Linked DNA regions of Lepisosteus oculatus. The protein of the gene in region 2 purifies or fractionates together with the protein of the main gene of each other region. This does not show direct contact. Links are inferred from orthologs where the notes say so. Each region holds a gene or a part of one and is shown on either strand. Other genes may lie near its edges.

Evidence for each region. The genes of interacting proteins can lie anywhere in the genome.
Region 1: the proteins of exoc1 (region 2) and exoc6 purify together in Homo sapiens (affinity purification with mass spectrometry; 4 studies listed by BioGRID and IntAct, counting the BioPlex papers as one, with this or other methods). This does not show direct contact. The link is inferred for Lepisosteus oculatus from reciprocal best matches to the Homo sapiens genes EXOC1 and EXOC6.

The regions. Positions count from the first base shown.
Region 1 is NC_090699.1:23,699,119-23,707,054, forward strand, and holds the start of exoc6 (exocyst complex component 6), read right to left. Parts: upstream 3,139-7,936; 5' UTR 3,104-3,138; coding exon 3,006-3,103; intron 1-3,005. UniProt on the Homo sapiens protein: Component of the exocyst complex involved in the docking of exocytic vesicles with fusion sites on the plasma membrane.
Region 2 is NC_090696.1:77,656,298-77,664,197, forward strand, and holds the start of exoc1 (exocyst complex component 1), read right to left. Parts: upstream 3,088-7,900; 5' UTR 2,926-3,087; intron 2,286-2,925; exon of another isoform or gene 2,155-2,285; 5' UTR 2,147-2,154; coding exon 2,023-2,146; intron 865-2,022; coding exon 737-864; intron 1-736. Other genes in the region: exoc1l (exocyst complex component 1-like), read right to left, coding at 5,945-6,205.

The DNA.
Region 1 (7,936 bases), on a different chromosome or scaffold from region 2:
CAGGCACCGTCCTTCGGATGAGACGTAAAACCAAGGTCCTGACTCTCTGGTGTCATTAAAAATCCCAGGGCGTTTCTCGAAAAGAGTAGGGGTGTTACCCCGGCGTCGTGGCCAAATTTCCCATTGGCCCCTACCAATCATGGCCTCCTAATAATCCCCATCTATGAATTGGCTTCATCACTCTGCTCTCCTCCCCACTGATATCTGATGTGTGGTGAGCGTTTTGGCGCACTATGGCTGCCGTCGCATCATCCAGGTGGGGCTGCACATTGGTGGTGGTGGAGGGGAGTCCCCATTACCTGTAAAGCGCTTTGAGTGGAGTGTCCAGAAAAGCGCTATATAAGTGTAAGCAATTATTATTATTATTATTATTATTTTTCTCAGGTTCTTTTTATATCTCTGGGCCTTACTGTAAACCAGTTTTTTTAAACAATGCAATTACGATACATTTTAGTCCCCCAGTCCACAATGAAACCACAGCAGTTATGAACTGATGCAATCCTTGTGAGCAATGCTCTGTCCGGAACCTCCACTCCCAGTACAGCAGGTGCTCACCATGAGCATTTCTACACGGCAGTTATTCTCTGTGGATTAGCTAGTGTTACATATTTCCATGTCAAAAGGCCTGCCCTAGTCAATACGCAAAGCCAATTAGATTCCCACCTGTGATTTAAGCAACCTTTTAAGATTAAGGACTTTAAAAGGTGAATTTAACAGTGAGCTAAACAGTATCTGAAAGAGGAGTGATTAGCAAGTCTCACTTGGATGAACTGGGGTTAACACAATCTTAAATCTATTCGAATTGAATTTGCACATGAGTATTGGAAAATCTGGTTATGGCATGGAGGTGCAGTGATTAGCATTGCTGCTTAATTCCAGACCTAGGGTGCTATCTGATACACAAAACTGGTCGTGGTGTGTGTATCTGTGTTTGTGTCTATGTGTGCCCTTTGATGGATAGGCATCCCATCCAGGGTGTTTCCTGCCTCGTGCCTGTTGCTTGATGGGATAGGCTCCGGATACCCCGTGATCCTGAACTGGCTGGAGCAGTTAGAAATCAGATGGATGGTTATGTTGTAATGTACCACAGAACAACTGCATTTCAGCCAATGCACGAACGATGACACTAAGGTTTTCAGAGTCAAGCTGTTCAAACTAGCTTTTTGTTCTTCCATCCAATATACTTTCAATATGCTGTGAAAGCCATACTGAGGCTTGAAGCCACTCCAGTACAGTTCAGTGCACCTGAGAAAACCATCTCCTTCACTAGACCACTGAGTTAACTCATCTGAACAATCAGAAAGAACTGGCTGTGCCAATGTCAATGGCTAGACTGTAAAGCCTGATACATAGGTACGGTTATATCATTTTTACTGTGCATTTAAACACAATCTCGAAAATGCATAATACATTTGGAGCACTAAACTCCCATTACAGAATTTTTCCACAAAAAAGAAACTCCTACCAGTAAGGAAGAGAAACAGAAAAACTCCACAAAAATCTAACGCACCAACACTGAAAATCAGATCTACAGTGTGCTTAAGAGGAAACCCACAGAGCGCCTCCACAAATCAGGGCGATTCGGTAATTGTGACCTACTTCACAGATAAACGAATGGGAGAAACGATCCCTTCAGTGAGGGACACACAAAAATACATTTTCCGCCTTCAAATTGTAAAATGAACTAGTTGCTCGATGAGCATTTTCGTTAGCTACCAAAAGATGGTGTATCCGTTGTGCTTTTAAAGGTATGTGTATTTCATGAAATCAATAACTCTTGCAGCAGGTGACGCAAAACGTCTAATGCCAGTACTCTGAAGACTCACAGCAACTGTAAAAAAAAGCGTGCGTTTGAACTATTATAAGGTATGCCATACAATATATTATGCACTAAATAGGACAGGGAATCGGTACCATCCTTAATTCATCTTGCTTCGGCAGAGCTTTGACGTTATAAGGCACTACATGCCCATACATGCCAAAAGAGATTTTTTGAATTTCCTAAACACCCCCTTCCTTTCTTATGCATTTTAATTAGACGTAAATATTTCTTTGTTCTTCAGAAGACACGTTCAAAGGTATAATTAACCCTCCTGGAATTTAACATTTTTTAAATAAAAAAAATGTCTGCCGTCATTAGTTGACCCGTGGTTTGTTCTGCAATTGTTTCGAGCGAAGGTCTCAAGCAGGCTACAGTCAAGATTTCTTGGTTGAATGGATGTCCCACCTAGATTTTTTCTATATTTATTACGCCGTAGTTAATACTATCTGTGCTTTGCTTCAGAAACCGGCATTCAGAATCGCTTTTAATCAACATTCTCCAAACGCGAAATCACGCGCTAGCAACATCGTGCTGAACGGATACTGAGAAGGGGATCACAAGCAAGCGCTACCCCTTATCGAAACAGCATCAGTTTATTTTCTGTGTAGTGTAACAACCTTCAGATATCCCACCACACCCACTTATAATAACTGTTTCTGAGACCAAATTATTATAATCTCTACAGAATTTCTCAAGATAAATGTACACAGTCGTACTGAAGCTGTTCCCATCGTATATTTCAGACAATAACAAGCATACATAAATTCATATTGAACCGCTATATGCAGAAACAACGGTCCTATGGCCTATATGCATTTACTCCCTTTCATTTAAACACTACCTACTCTTGCAATTTGCAGTTTTGTAAATCCCTAACACTTATTTCTTAAAATAACTATCGGGTTATCGTTTTGTTGGCACTATTTAAGTATACAGACATAAATCGATAACATAGTATACAAATGTAACGAGACATTGTGCTGTTTAATTGCATTAGTATTTATTTCAAACTAGGAAGTAAGAAGCAGACGACTGCTTGTGCCGCAGTTCAGGAAGCTCAGCTGGTTAGCAGCAATAGCTAACAAAGGCCCGGCCGCTAAATTAATACACTTGCAAGGTCTTAGGTAGAAATTACAACTATGATTCAACGAAGGTGAGCACGGCAAAACGTTTCTCTCCCTACCGAAGCGTAGGGCCGACGCAGGCAGTGTCTGTGCTCTCGATTTCCTGCAGGATACGTTCATGCTCGGTGATACTCTCCAAGGTTGCAGTCTCCGCCATGTTTGTTGTGCTCTCGGTGACAAAGTGACACTGCGGGGAACGAGAGTGCTGCCTCTAGTCGGCGCTAGGGGGCGAGTCGGCGGTGAAGTTGGCAGCAGGTGTTCCAAAGGGGAAGAATTGATTTTGCTGGATTAAGCATGTTCAGAGTATGTAGCCTATGTGTTCTTACCTGCTTCAAACATAAAATCATGGACCGCCATACACATGGTGATTCACGTTTGCAGAAAATAAACATTCCCATTTAAACAAAGACTTATGCTTCGTTTGATTGGTTGTTGAATGTTTTCATTACAGGGCTACCTTACAGTATTTATTAATGTTTGTCTCATGTAAATTGGCATCATATTAAATGATCTTTTTTTCAGAGTGACGTGCACTCACACATATGCACCCTTTTTCTCTCAAATTGGAAATACTCTAACGTTTCATAAAATGTTATTTACTCAAGTAACAGCGCTCTGGAGAAAAAGAACATCCTGGGAACGTTAAAGAACAGAAATACATTCTGCGACGTAAAAGGAAAAGAAAACACAATGTGCTAGATGTTGAGTACTTCAGGTGTGTGAATATGGCATCACACACGAAACTTGTGGTTTTGTCGTCTTTCTTTTCACTTCACAGTGTGGAGTTATCCTCGCCTTGCTCCACTGCGGTGAAAATAATATGTAGCACAGAACAAAAAAATGGATCACAAGAGGATTCCTTATTTCTGTATTCAGTGTATAGTACGGTTAGATTAAATGATGCTATCTTAATGTTTAAAGTTCCATTCCAATCCCTTGGGAAGAAATACATTTACCTACTAAGAAAAGAGAAATAAACAGTACATTGTTCTTGTAAGAGTATGGTCTAGTCAGTTAGAAACAACAAAAATACTTGTCCCTTGGTATAATTAAACATGATAGGGAAAATAGTGGCGAAATAGATCTCCTTAGACACATTTCAATGAAGCGTGTTTAACCCGAATCGAGTACAACAGTCTACAACCCGTAACATGTTCGTTTTCTTAATTTAAAAATGCGCAATAGCGGATATAATATTAGGAAAAATCTCAGTTTAAGAGTGATAGTAATTGAAGGACAGCGTACTTTTGTTCGAACGTCCTACCAGGAAACACCACAGTTTATTCGGTTTAATTATTACTTCACAGAAGTTCACAGTCCATTCCGTGACTCTTACTCTATTTTTCTATTTTCCTAAATGCGGCTATTGTTGAAAAGAGTTGCCATTTAAGTTCCAGGAATAACAGACACGAGCACACACTTAGCATTTTACTTTTCTTTCCTGCTTTTAACTTTAAAAATGGGTTTAAGATCCCTACCTTAGAGTTGTTCCCAAAGGTAAGCCAAGTGTTTCTAGTTCTGCAAAAAAATTTTCATACACTTTATCTTCTCGATTCTCTTCCCCCAGGACACTGGGTGATAGGGACTTAATGGTTTTGTTGGCCATTGCGAGCTTTCAGAATAAGAGAAGGAGTTTTGGTGAGGGCTGGATAGCTTTCCTGCTGCGGTCAGCAAAATCACACAGCAGAAGGAAAAGCAATGCCCTTGTCATCCACAACCCTCCGAATCCAAGAATCAAAATCTTAGTTGCTTATTTGTTTAATAACTATCTTAAATCTCAGTTAACTCTTAAATGTACTCATCCAAAAATTAGGAGAAAACATAGTCATTGTCATTGTAGGGATTGTGCTGAAATAGGAGAATAAGTAATCGTTTCTGTTTCTCTAAAAGTAATCTTATTCTCAAAAATACAACATTTTCTTTGCATGTCTTATCTTATTTCTACTTAATTTCAAAATGGACGTTGTATGGTTATTAAACATGAACCTCGGGAGGCAGCTACTGTATAATCCCCAAACTTTATAAAAGCGTATATTCGTTTTTCCTCATAAAATTTGGTATTTAATCCCTAACATGTCTGATGCTTTACACACATGTACATGACTTGATTTTGTTCACTGTAAAACATACTACACAATAGGTACAGAACCGAGTAGGTGATGTAAGCAAATTTACATTTATCTTTAATCTACATTTTACTGATTTTCAAAAGAAGCCCTAACAATGGGGGTTTCCTTATTGTACCGAGAAAAACAAGACATGCGTGTAAAGGAAACGTTTCTGGAGCACAGGAACACCGCGCGGCTAGATCGTATTGTAAGTTGGAACTCGTGTGCTGACATTCTCGCAAAGGTCATTTATCAGGCGGATACAGTGTCAGCGTTAATGATAAATCAAAGAAAAAATATCCCAGTAAAGCCAGGATCCTCGAATCCTGAATATTGCAGGTCAGGGCTTCCACGTACGCCTGTGGATAACATTTCTTTCTTCTTCTGCTTCAACTCTCCTCACACCCCCCTCTCCCCTCATTCCTCCTCCACCACCACCCCAAACCTTTCTGAAACGCAGATTATGGTATCACAGGAAACTGAAACCCCCTCTCTTTTCTGATCAGATAAATGATGCAGATATTTTTGTTAACTCTTTCCATCCCCCGTTTGGACTTTCACTGTCTCAGAGCTTTGAAACTTTGAGGTTTCAAAGTTTCAAAGGTTTCAAAGTTTATGAAACGCTGATCTTGGCGTTTTGTGGAACTATGTTAGCCACTCTTTTGTCACATGAGTCACAATTTAAAAATGTGATGTTATCCTTAACTCATTCCCTCTAATGGCTGCGTCTTCCCGGTTGATATCCCGGTACCATCTGGTGCAAAGCCGAACTATACCCATGCAGGACGACAGTCCATCGCAGGCCACAAACACAATTTCGATATCCCAGATCGCAATCCTTTGGAAAGAAACCGGAATATGTGGAGGATATCCAGGCAGACAAAGGAATAACAGCAACTTTTGCATCTGGACCCCAGTAGGAATCGAACCAAAATCCTAACCGATCGTGACAGTCTTGCCTCCTGAACAGCAGCATTAAACCTCACGTATTAGCAGTAGGTGTCTGGTACCAAACTAAAGTATGAAGGTTTAACAGCCTTGACACTGACGAGTTGGCACTTTGAAATAGGAGGAAAGACCCTTACCTGCGTTAGCAGATTACGGAAGTTTCAATTTGAAATAATTAGCCTTTCACTCAGAAATATTATTTGAGCATGTATAATAATTGCGAAAATATGTCTGCATATGACAATATTTTGTAAAATTAAAACGCCCAGTACATTGCATGATTCAAATATTTTGTTGATAGATTTATATTTTCAAAATAATCTTGCATTTATAGGGAATACAATTAGAAATGTTCTAATTAATGGGAAAACCCCGATCTATTCTTTTCACATGTACATATGTAAACATCACATTAATGCATATATATTTTACTCTTTTTGTTTGATGGCTCTTGTCTAAAACTGAAAATGAAAGATCAAAAGAATAATATCTCAAACTAATCTGATGTGATGTCTTTCCTAAATCTGATTTACATTCTGCACATTCTGAATTTATCCTTCATCTGTCTCAAACAGGCAAAACAATCCTTTTCTTAAACAATGAACCCGTCTCAAGAGTCTATCCTGTCGGCTTCATTAATATTAAGGAACAACTATTAGACAAAGTGTTACCCTCTGTCTGACTAATCTTAACAGAGATTCTAAGATTGTGCAGACCTTGTTCTGTGACCAGAGCCAAAACCCTAGACAGTTTTGATAGCTTAAGTTGCTCTTTAATGAGACAGGCCTGCATCTTCAGTGTTTGCAGTTAGTTAAATTCAGAGTTTATTGTGTTCCCTGTCAATCTAGAGATTAGATAGTTTAGTTAGGCTCCTACTGGCCATTTAAGGTGTACTGCATTTATTGACTGTCTGGAATCAATATCAAAGCTTTGAAATCTACCTGACAGGTAAATACAAGAACGTATTATTTCTTGCTTCGTGATATCTTCGCTTACCAGGTGCTGATGTCTGTTTGTGTTTGCTTGACCGCTTGGTTTAGGAGAGCCGTAGTACAGCGGCCGTCCAGAAGAGGGAGTCTGAAGAAGAGTATTCTTAGCTACCACAGCGTTTCTCATATGAAGTGCTAAATAAATTGAAACAGTGTCATTGACAAATAACAGAGATCATCATACGTAAATGTCTGTTATTGGTAGTGTGAGGTAGTACGAACACAGGAACAAGGTACAAGAGGAATAAAGAAGAGCTGAAGAATTAGAGAGCAAAGAATTGTGGCTAAAAAGATAACATGTGGGCTATGCATTGAAGTGAGAACCTCATTGCACAGATGCACTGTGGCTTTTTAAATTAAAATATGGTGTTCACAAGCTTCTCAGTATTCCCCTATTGGCTTGATCCCATCTACTTTGATTCTCCTAGAGCTCACTCTTGAGAAAAGCTTTGACATTGCTCTACTGGTATCACAGGTCTTTACTTGAGAAAACTGTTCTCATATGGAGGGATCGGAAATAGAACCATTCGAATTGCAAAGACTGGTGCAGCAGTGTGGCATGTATTGGGGAAGATTGCCCATTATTAGACAGGACAGATGCAGTAAATCTACAGCTGGTATCAATAAACTAAAATGTCTCTCACTGTCTGCTTTGAATCTCGGTGCTGGGTCATTCCACCAGTGCCTTCTTTGCCCTTCTTTGAGAAAAGAAAATGAACAAACACTGACACTGTACGTTTCCTGTTTTGAAACTCTTTCCACTCGCAGAAGTCTCAAGAGACTCAAAGCCCCCTGAAAGGGTTTTGTATGCAAAGCTATTGTCGTTTTTGTCAAATGGCAGTGTAATAAAAAGGCACTTGAGGAACATTTAGGTCTCCTCTCTGATGAATTGCAACATGGTAAAAAGCTCTCACAGAGCACAGAGAGTCATATCTATTTTAAAGC
Region 2 (7,900 bases):
CGTTGAATGCAGCTTAACTGGTTAACCCCACTTTCATATCACTGCACTGCAGCACAAATGTGGAGAAACAAAAACAACGCTTGTAAGAACAGCAAGTTACAATAAAGGACAACTGAAGACAGTTTCTTTGTTGCCTTTGACTCATCATAAATGCTTTTACATGTTCTGGGCAACTGCATTAAACTGTAAACGGTAAATTGCATAAAGCATGAAAAATGAATGGAATTATTCTACTGGACTTTGCACCAGTCGAGCAAAAATTACAAACAGCACAGGTTGAACAAGAAAAAAAACAGCATGTGTTCGACCCAAGATGATCACTTCATTCACATGCATGTCTAACTCAAGAGATCAAGTAAATGTACAAATCATACTGTTCAAAGGGAAACATTCAGAATTGAAGAACTGAATGGTAGGTGCATTTACAAACCCAATCACATAAGGAAGGGTACACATGCTGGGAGAAAGAGATCGCAATTTTAAGGAACTGCAGTTACAAAAGCGAAGATGTACTGTAGCAGGACGAAAGGAAAGACTACAGTGACATTCGAAATCTGTGACCTGTTACTGACGAGGCCGTCTTGATTATTTGCCTCAAGTGCTACAGTACGTGCTTTGCAAAGCTCCTCATTTCAATTAAACCACAACTGAAACAATTTTCTGTATTAAAGCAAACGCATGACATGATCAAGGAGGCCAAAGAAAACACAAAACGCCCCGCTGTTTTCTTACAGACCTTGTTGGCATCTTTCGCGTCTACGATGGCCAGGTTGCTGAGCTCCCAGGCGGTCTGTCTCTTGAAGTCGCCCTTGTCCGACTTCTTCACCTTCACCACCTGCACATGCACGGGGCGCTCGGTGGTCACTGGAAGGGGAGAGGGGGGACGGCGGTCTTACAGGGCAGGCTGCTGGGTAGCGCACGCCCGACGTGTGAGGGGGCTTTTCTCACACTCAGCTGCGTTACTCTGTGCACCGCACAAGTTTGCAGGTGACACAACTTCACTCTTCAAGGGGTCAACAGCTTCCCTTTGCCACACTCACACGACCCGCTGTGCAACAGTCCCCACGCGCCGGGCGCAGCGGCAGCACCACTGAGCCTTAGCCACCTGCTTTCGGAAAAACAGGGACCGTCAGTGCAGATGAAGACTCGACGCTACACAGCATCAGAACGCCTACACAGAGGAACGCGCTCAGAAACGGGCCTACTCTCGGCGGCGCAGCGCGTCAAACGGCTCCGGAAACCTGGCAGTTTGCATCCAGCTTGGAGAACGTTTGGCACGCAGGCCCTGGGCGCCCTGCGTCACTGCGAGGGGCCGCGGGCGACGGGGCTGCAGGGGACTCTGGAGTGTGACAGCACGAGCCCTCCCCAGAACGCCGGACCAGGGGAGCTCGGCGCTGCTCTGGTCCCGCTGGCGCCACAGACACCCACCCCGTCACGAGCGGACGCACAACTCCCAGTCGGGCGCCCGTGGCAGAGGGACGGTCATCTCCCGCCAACGCGGCGCTGGGGCTCTTTTCGGAACGCACGATTTCACTGAGGTTACGTTTCAGAACACCACTTTCCCGGGAATCGGTTTCCTGGCGCGGGACTCCAGAAGCCAACAGGAGTCTGGTGTGATAATGACCGGATCTTTCCACATCAGCAGCAGCGCTCCAACCCCACCACGGATAAATGAAATCTCAATAAATGGCGAGACCCCATAATCCAGCCATCCAGCCGTTTTCCACCGTTTTCTCCAGAGCAGGGTCGTGGAGGGAGCCGGAGCCTATCCCAGCAAGCAACAGGGGCCAGGCAGGACTCACCCCGGGCCTCACCAGAGCACACAAAGGGCACGCAGACAGCACCCCGGGTCTGGAATCGGACCCAGGGCCCCAGCGCTGCGAGGCTGTAATACTGACCACTACGCCACCCTACAGCGCACGATTCGTGCTGGAGACTGGGGGGCTGGACCGCAAAGCGCTCGCGGGTCTCCCACCCACGCCCGCTCGTTTCCAGGCACGCAGCCCGGCCCGCCGGACGCACCTGTGGCGCACAGGAAGCAGTTCTTCTTCTTCTTCCCGGCCTTGCACACGTTGACGATGCTGAGGAGCCGCTCGTCGCTGGGCGTGAAGATGTCCCTCTGCAGGGCGTGCTTGATGGCCGTCATCCCTCCTGCTGCAGGCACACGCCGTACTTACTGCCGGGCACGCGAGGGCAGGGAGAGGGGCAGGGCTCCGTGCCAGAGCACCCGTTCGTACCACTGCTGCACGTTTGTTTGTGTTGTTTATTCAGCACTTTTGCAGGTTCTTAAAAACACCAGGCATTAAGAACACTGAATTACACTGCTGTTACAATAAAACCGTGCAAGTCAACCAGGGGGTCCCTGAACGCTGTATTTTATTTTTATTATTATTATTATTATTATTATTATTATTATTATATTCCTGGGACTGAGAAGCCTGCCTAGGCTGGCAGACTGCACCGAGGGAAGCCCTCGGGATTTCAACAGCCCACACTTCAACCAAGAGTGCGAATTCTGCAGCGCCGTGGATCACTCCCCAGCAACCCACGGCGCAGCAGAACCCACTTCCTTCTCTAGACACCCGCACCGATATATTTACTGCATCTAAATTACTTCTGAGTCAGGCGTCACGAACAGTAATGCGCAACAAGGAATTAAATCCCGCAACCAAATCGCGCTACTCCCTAATTTTAACAACAAAGGGCGCCATGCATCTGGGGCTCTGACTACTGTAGGACTTATCCATGCAAGACATCCCTCTTTGATATTTATACCGCTGAAATGGAAGACCCCCAAACAGAGCACATTTAGTAAATACGGATTAAGTGGCAAAACGTAAACGAACAAGGGATTCGGGCTCGCCCTTTTCCAATCAAAATGCCCCCCAAACTATTACGTTTAGTTAACAAGGAAAGCACATTTACCTTAATAAAACAATGTGTATCGGGAATGACAATATCTTGCCCTTAGTCGCTTTGTTTATCCATACAAACACAACAATACGAGCCGCTTTCCTGTCATGAGCTGTTTCCAAACGCAGAGCTAGCTAGCAAGCTGCCCCAGCCCAGCTGAGTTTCCTGTTTCCGGATAAAAGGCAGGACGTCACACTCAGGAACAGCGGCTAGAGGAAGGATAGGGACGTCATTAGAGTCAGGGCGCTCGGCTGGCCGGGGGGAACTTTGACATCACGTCTAATGCATTGTTAAATCCACTTAGAAAGTCAATAAAAGCTCAGAAAAATGAATATAATGCATTAAAAAAGGAAGTATATAGTATATAAATATAAAGTATCTAAATATCACTGTGTAGTCGAGAAATTCAATCCAGGGCTCCAACTTTGGGCACTGCGTCTGTCTTGTTCGGGTTCGAGTTCGGTTCACTGCGACTCATTACAACGATAAAGTGGGTATTGTGTTGTGTAGTAGGAAAGAAAAGACGTTTTCTAAAACATTTTAAATCCAACCCTGATTCGTATTAAGAGATCCCCTCATTGAACGTACCAGTAATATATTTTCTTTGTTACAGATTTTGGGTGCTTGGCTTCTGTTAAAGCCTGTTAAAGGTGCTTCTAAATAAAATGTGCATTTAGTCTCAGATACCAAGAGAACATTCCTCCAGATTAGCATGGGCTCCAGTTAAAGGAAAGGTTACCAAGAAGAGGAGGCCGTTTCGTGCAACTTGTTCATTTGGTTGCAAGTAGTTTATTGATCCTAACATCCCATCCGGGAGCCCTGGGACAGATCCAGGCTGCTTCCAGGATGTTTCTGCTTCACGCCCTGAAGACCCAGCCTGCCTGCCTGCAGCAGGGCTCATGGGAGGACTTCTGGACTTCAGGAGGATCCCAAGGGAACTGCAAGACTCATTGTGTCAAAGAAAAGTTTCCAGCGTTAACAGAATATCACCGCTTTTGGATTTTTGGCAGCATCAGAACTTTAAATAGAAAGTGAATTTGGCTGGTCCAATTTGCAGAGAATAGATCCAGGATGTCTGGTGTCACATTTTGTGGTTCGGTTTTGCATTCTTGCTCTTTCCTCACAAACACAATGAGATTCCACCCCGATGCTCCTCCTGGGAACTTTCATTTCAGTCAAGGGCTCTAGCCAACCTGGTTATAAGAACAGGGACACGGAAGCTGCACATAATGGTCATTATCCCTACTTTTACCCTCAGGGAGGTAGAGGAAGTCTACAGTAGCTGCTTTCTGTAACCGAACGTCACAATATAATAAAAGCAACACAGACAACAGTAATAGATATAGGCCCCTCAGATTGGGTCAATTTCAGTCTTAATCGATATGTAGGACGTGATTATTTTTTTAGTTATGTTTTATTTTTAATGCTTTAGAAAACATTTGCAAAACACCTAAGGATGTATTTATAATAATAACAATAACAACAAGTATATTTTATAAAGCACATTTAAAAGGATTGAATTAAAAATGCTTTATAATATATACAAATTTGACAAATTATTCTGGTTTAAAGTAATATCTTTTACCTTCAGTTTCTCGATTAAATTCTATACTGTATTTACACAAACTGAGAGGATTACTTTATTTATAAGACACTTCAAACAGACCAAGCATTTCAGTACAGGTACTGTACATCACAAGCACTGCACACAGTAAATCCACATGAATGACAAAGTTATTTTACTCAATTTAATAATTGGAAATAGGTATGTTTTTATTTATTATTATTTTTGCTCTAAAAAACTTGAAATGTATATATACAACTTACGTAGACAACTGTTCATTTTCAAATTATTTAAAATATTTTCAGATATTTTTAAAAGCATTTGTATTTTGGTGAACACAAATAAAATAACTACAAATCATCAGAAAGAAAATAAATAATAAAATTGAAAATCTAAGTGTTTTTATTAATTAACTTAATAACTTCATTGCATAACTTTACTAACTCTACAAGTGTTAGTCAAAAGGAAAAAACAGTGAAAAGTGCCGGAAAGTGAAGAGAAATTTGTATTTCCGATCAAGCTATTAATATGAGACAGAACTGTAGACTTTCTTTTGTTATTGGGTATTAAAACATAGTGTTAAAAGTTTAGAAATATGTTGAATGTATGCGTTTTTCACATGGGAGTGTACTGTATGTGTTACCTGGTCACAAGCAAACAAGAAGCTCTTACTTGTGAGTTTCACTGTGGTCAGCTGGACATGTACACATGAAAGCATAAGTTTCACCTGCCCACAGTTCGTCTGCGGACACGACACACAAATCAAATCTTTCATGGTTTTCATACAAAGCATATACGCAAATGCATTCCTATTTCACTTTGTTTACATGTGTTGTGGGCACCAGAGTGGCCTCTCTAATGATGACTTTAACCTATTGCTTGAGAAAGGAGAAAGAAAGCAGAATCCTAATTTCCTGCGTTGTTCATCCTACTACAACCCGAAAAAGCTAAATGAACAACAAGATGACCAAAAGCTTTCTTCTGAAGAAGGGGAATATGCAATGATTCAGTACACAGTCTGTTATCTTGTACATTGCATTTATAAAACCTTAACAAATCGTGAGATTGACACATCACTGTGTTATACCCTGTGACCCGACTGAAGGTGCTGCTGTGGTGCACTGAGTGAACTACAGCCCAGTTTGACTTCAGCCAGAGGCCATCAGTCACAGTGACAGACACCTCTCTCAGGCTCCCACCAGCAGTGATAGTGCTAACTGCACTGCAGACTGCAGAGAGGGGTCAGAGGGTCAGAGTCCGTACTGCAAGTGAGATTTCAGCTGAAGCAAAAATCTTGAAAAGAAACGACATGACTGTTAAACACGTCACGTCCCTCCTGTCTCTCTTCAACACCTTCACTTCCAGGCTTTGGCTGATGTGTTGGACACTCCCGCACACTGAGCCCCATGGAGAAGGGGCGACATTTCTGACTGAGGAGTACCGGAGCTCTGCCGTCTGGAAGCCCGCCTAGGAAACGGGACACAGTGACAGGCACACGAGGTTGAAAGCATAGAAGCAGATTTGCATGATCACCATGCAGTCCCCTCTGTTGGACGACAGGGATGTGGGCTCGATGTAGGTGATGTCGAAGTTCGCTATCTTGAGCTCCCTCTGGCAGTAGGTCCCGCTGAGCCGCGTCAGGCAGCGAGCGAAGGAGTACTTGGCCGCGCAGCTCAGGGCCTCCAACTTGTGCACTTTGTCAAAGTGCATGTCGAAGAACGGGTCATCCTGGAATGGGAGAGGAGGGAGGAATGCTTAGAGATTTCACACAGATGTACTGGGGGCGGAGCGGTGGCTCTGTGGCTCAGGATCTGCGCCTGTGGCTGGAAGGTTGCCGGTTTGAATCCTGTGGCTGGCAGAGGAATCCTACCCTGTTGGGCTGCTGAGCAAGGCCCTTAACCCCAGCTGCTCCAGGGGTGATGTACAATGGCTGACCCTGCGCTCTGACCCCAAGCTTCTCTCCCTGTCTGTGTCTCGTGGAGAGCAAGCTGGGGTATGTGAAAAGACAAATTCCTAATGCAAGAAATTGTATATGGCTAATAAAGTGATCTTATCTTATATAGACAGGCCTGTTACACAGTGGTTTTAACCTGGTTTACCCTAGCTGCAGCAAAGCACTGGTCTCTGGTCTCTGGGAAACCGAATTAGATTGAAAAGGCTTTCCTAGTGCTGTGCCTAGAATTGGCACATTTTACCAGAATTTGGCGGGTAGGAAAACCACCTGATAGTATATAACATCTGTCTAATGTAAAACAGAAAGCCATGACCTGCACTTTATGCTTTATCTCTAGGTAGGCAAAACATTTTTTTTGGCATTTGAGGAGCCTTGATATGAAAGATACAAAAAAGAACTGTCCCCGTTATATAAACGTATATAATATAACCAATATGTTTACAGGTTCTCAGAATTAGTACATAAAATGTATTGATAAAGAACAAGACTTTTCTAGCAGTTTCTAGTCAGAATGAAGATTACTGATGATGAAAGTTCAATCAGGTTTCTCAGCAAGCACTGCACATGTGGAAAAGAAATCACAAAGCATATTATTAAAACAACAGTTAACAAAACAAACAAATTTCATCAAATAAATTCATGCTACAGGGTTACAGAGAGTGTTAAGAAAAAAAAATAACTTAATGTAATGCTCGTGAATTGGAACTCTGATCAATTCTAGTGAGAATCCAACCTCAGCAGTAAAGAAGCAGCGCAGTACCCTGGAATATTACTTTAACCAGGGCGGCTCACCAGATCATTGTGAGGAGTGAGTGCATTAGATCACTATTAGATGGGAAGGCATACTTGTCTCATTCTAATAGTTCCAAACGACGGAAGAGAAGCACAGAGTGCTAGAGGAATCGGCTGGGAGCACTGTCTCTCTCTGCTTAACCACAGAGCCCTGTCTCCTCCATCAATTCTTCATTAGTGGCTAGCTTCAAAAAGGATAATTGCTTTGGTTCCCATAATTATCAAAGACATGACTTGCACTTTGTGCTTTATCCCTAGGTAGGCAAAAACCTTTTTTTTTGCATTTGAGGAGCCTTGATGCGGAAAAGCAATAAACCCGATTGTCCCTTTTCCTTGCCGTTCTGTAAATCTCTATTTTGTCACCCATGACATTCGTAGAAAGATGACATTAGGAGTAAAACCACTGTACCAAATAGAAAAAAGAAACCAGATAAACCAGGGGAAAGATTTGATTTCGTTTCTCTTGTTTTTTGCACGTACCACAGAATAATATTGCTCATTCTTGCGGAGTTGGAAATGCATGCTTGTTATGCAGCACCTAAGGGACTGGTGACCAGTGCACTTCCTCTGTAATTTCTCATCAACACAGACCCGATATTGTTACTGAATCAAGCTAATTAGTTAATCAAGGTAAATATGAATTATTTGTTTGCATATACACAATATTTCAAAAGCTA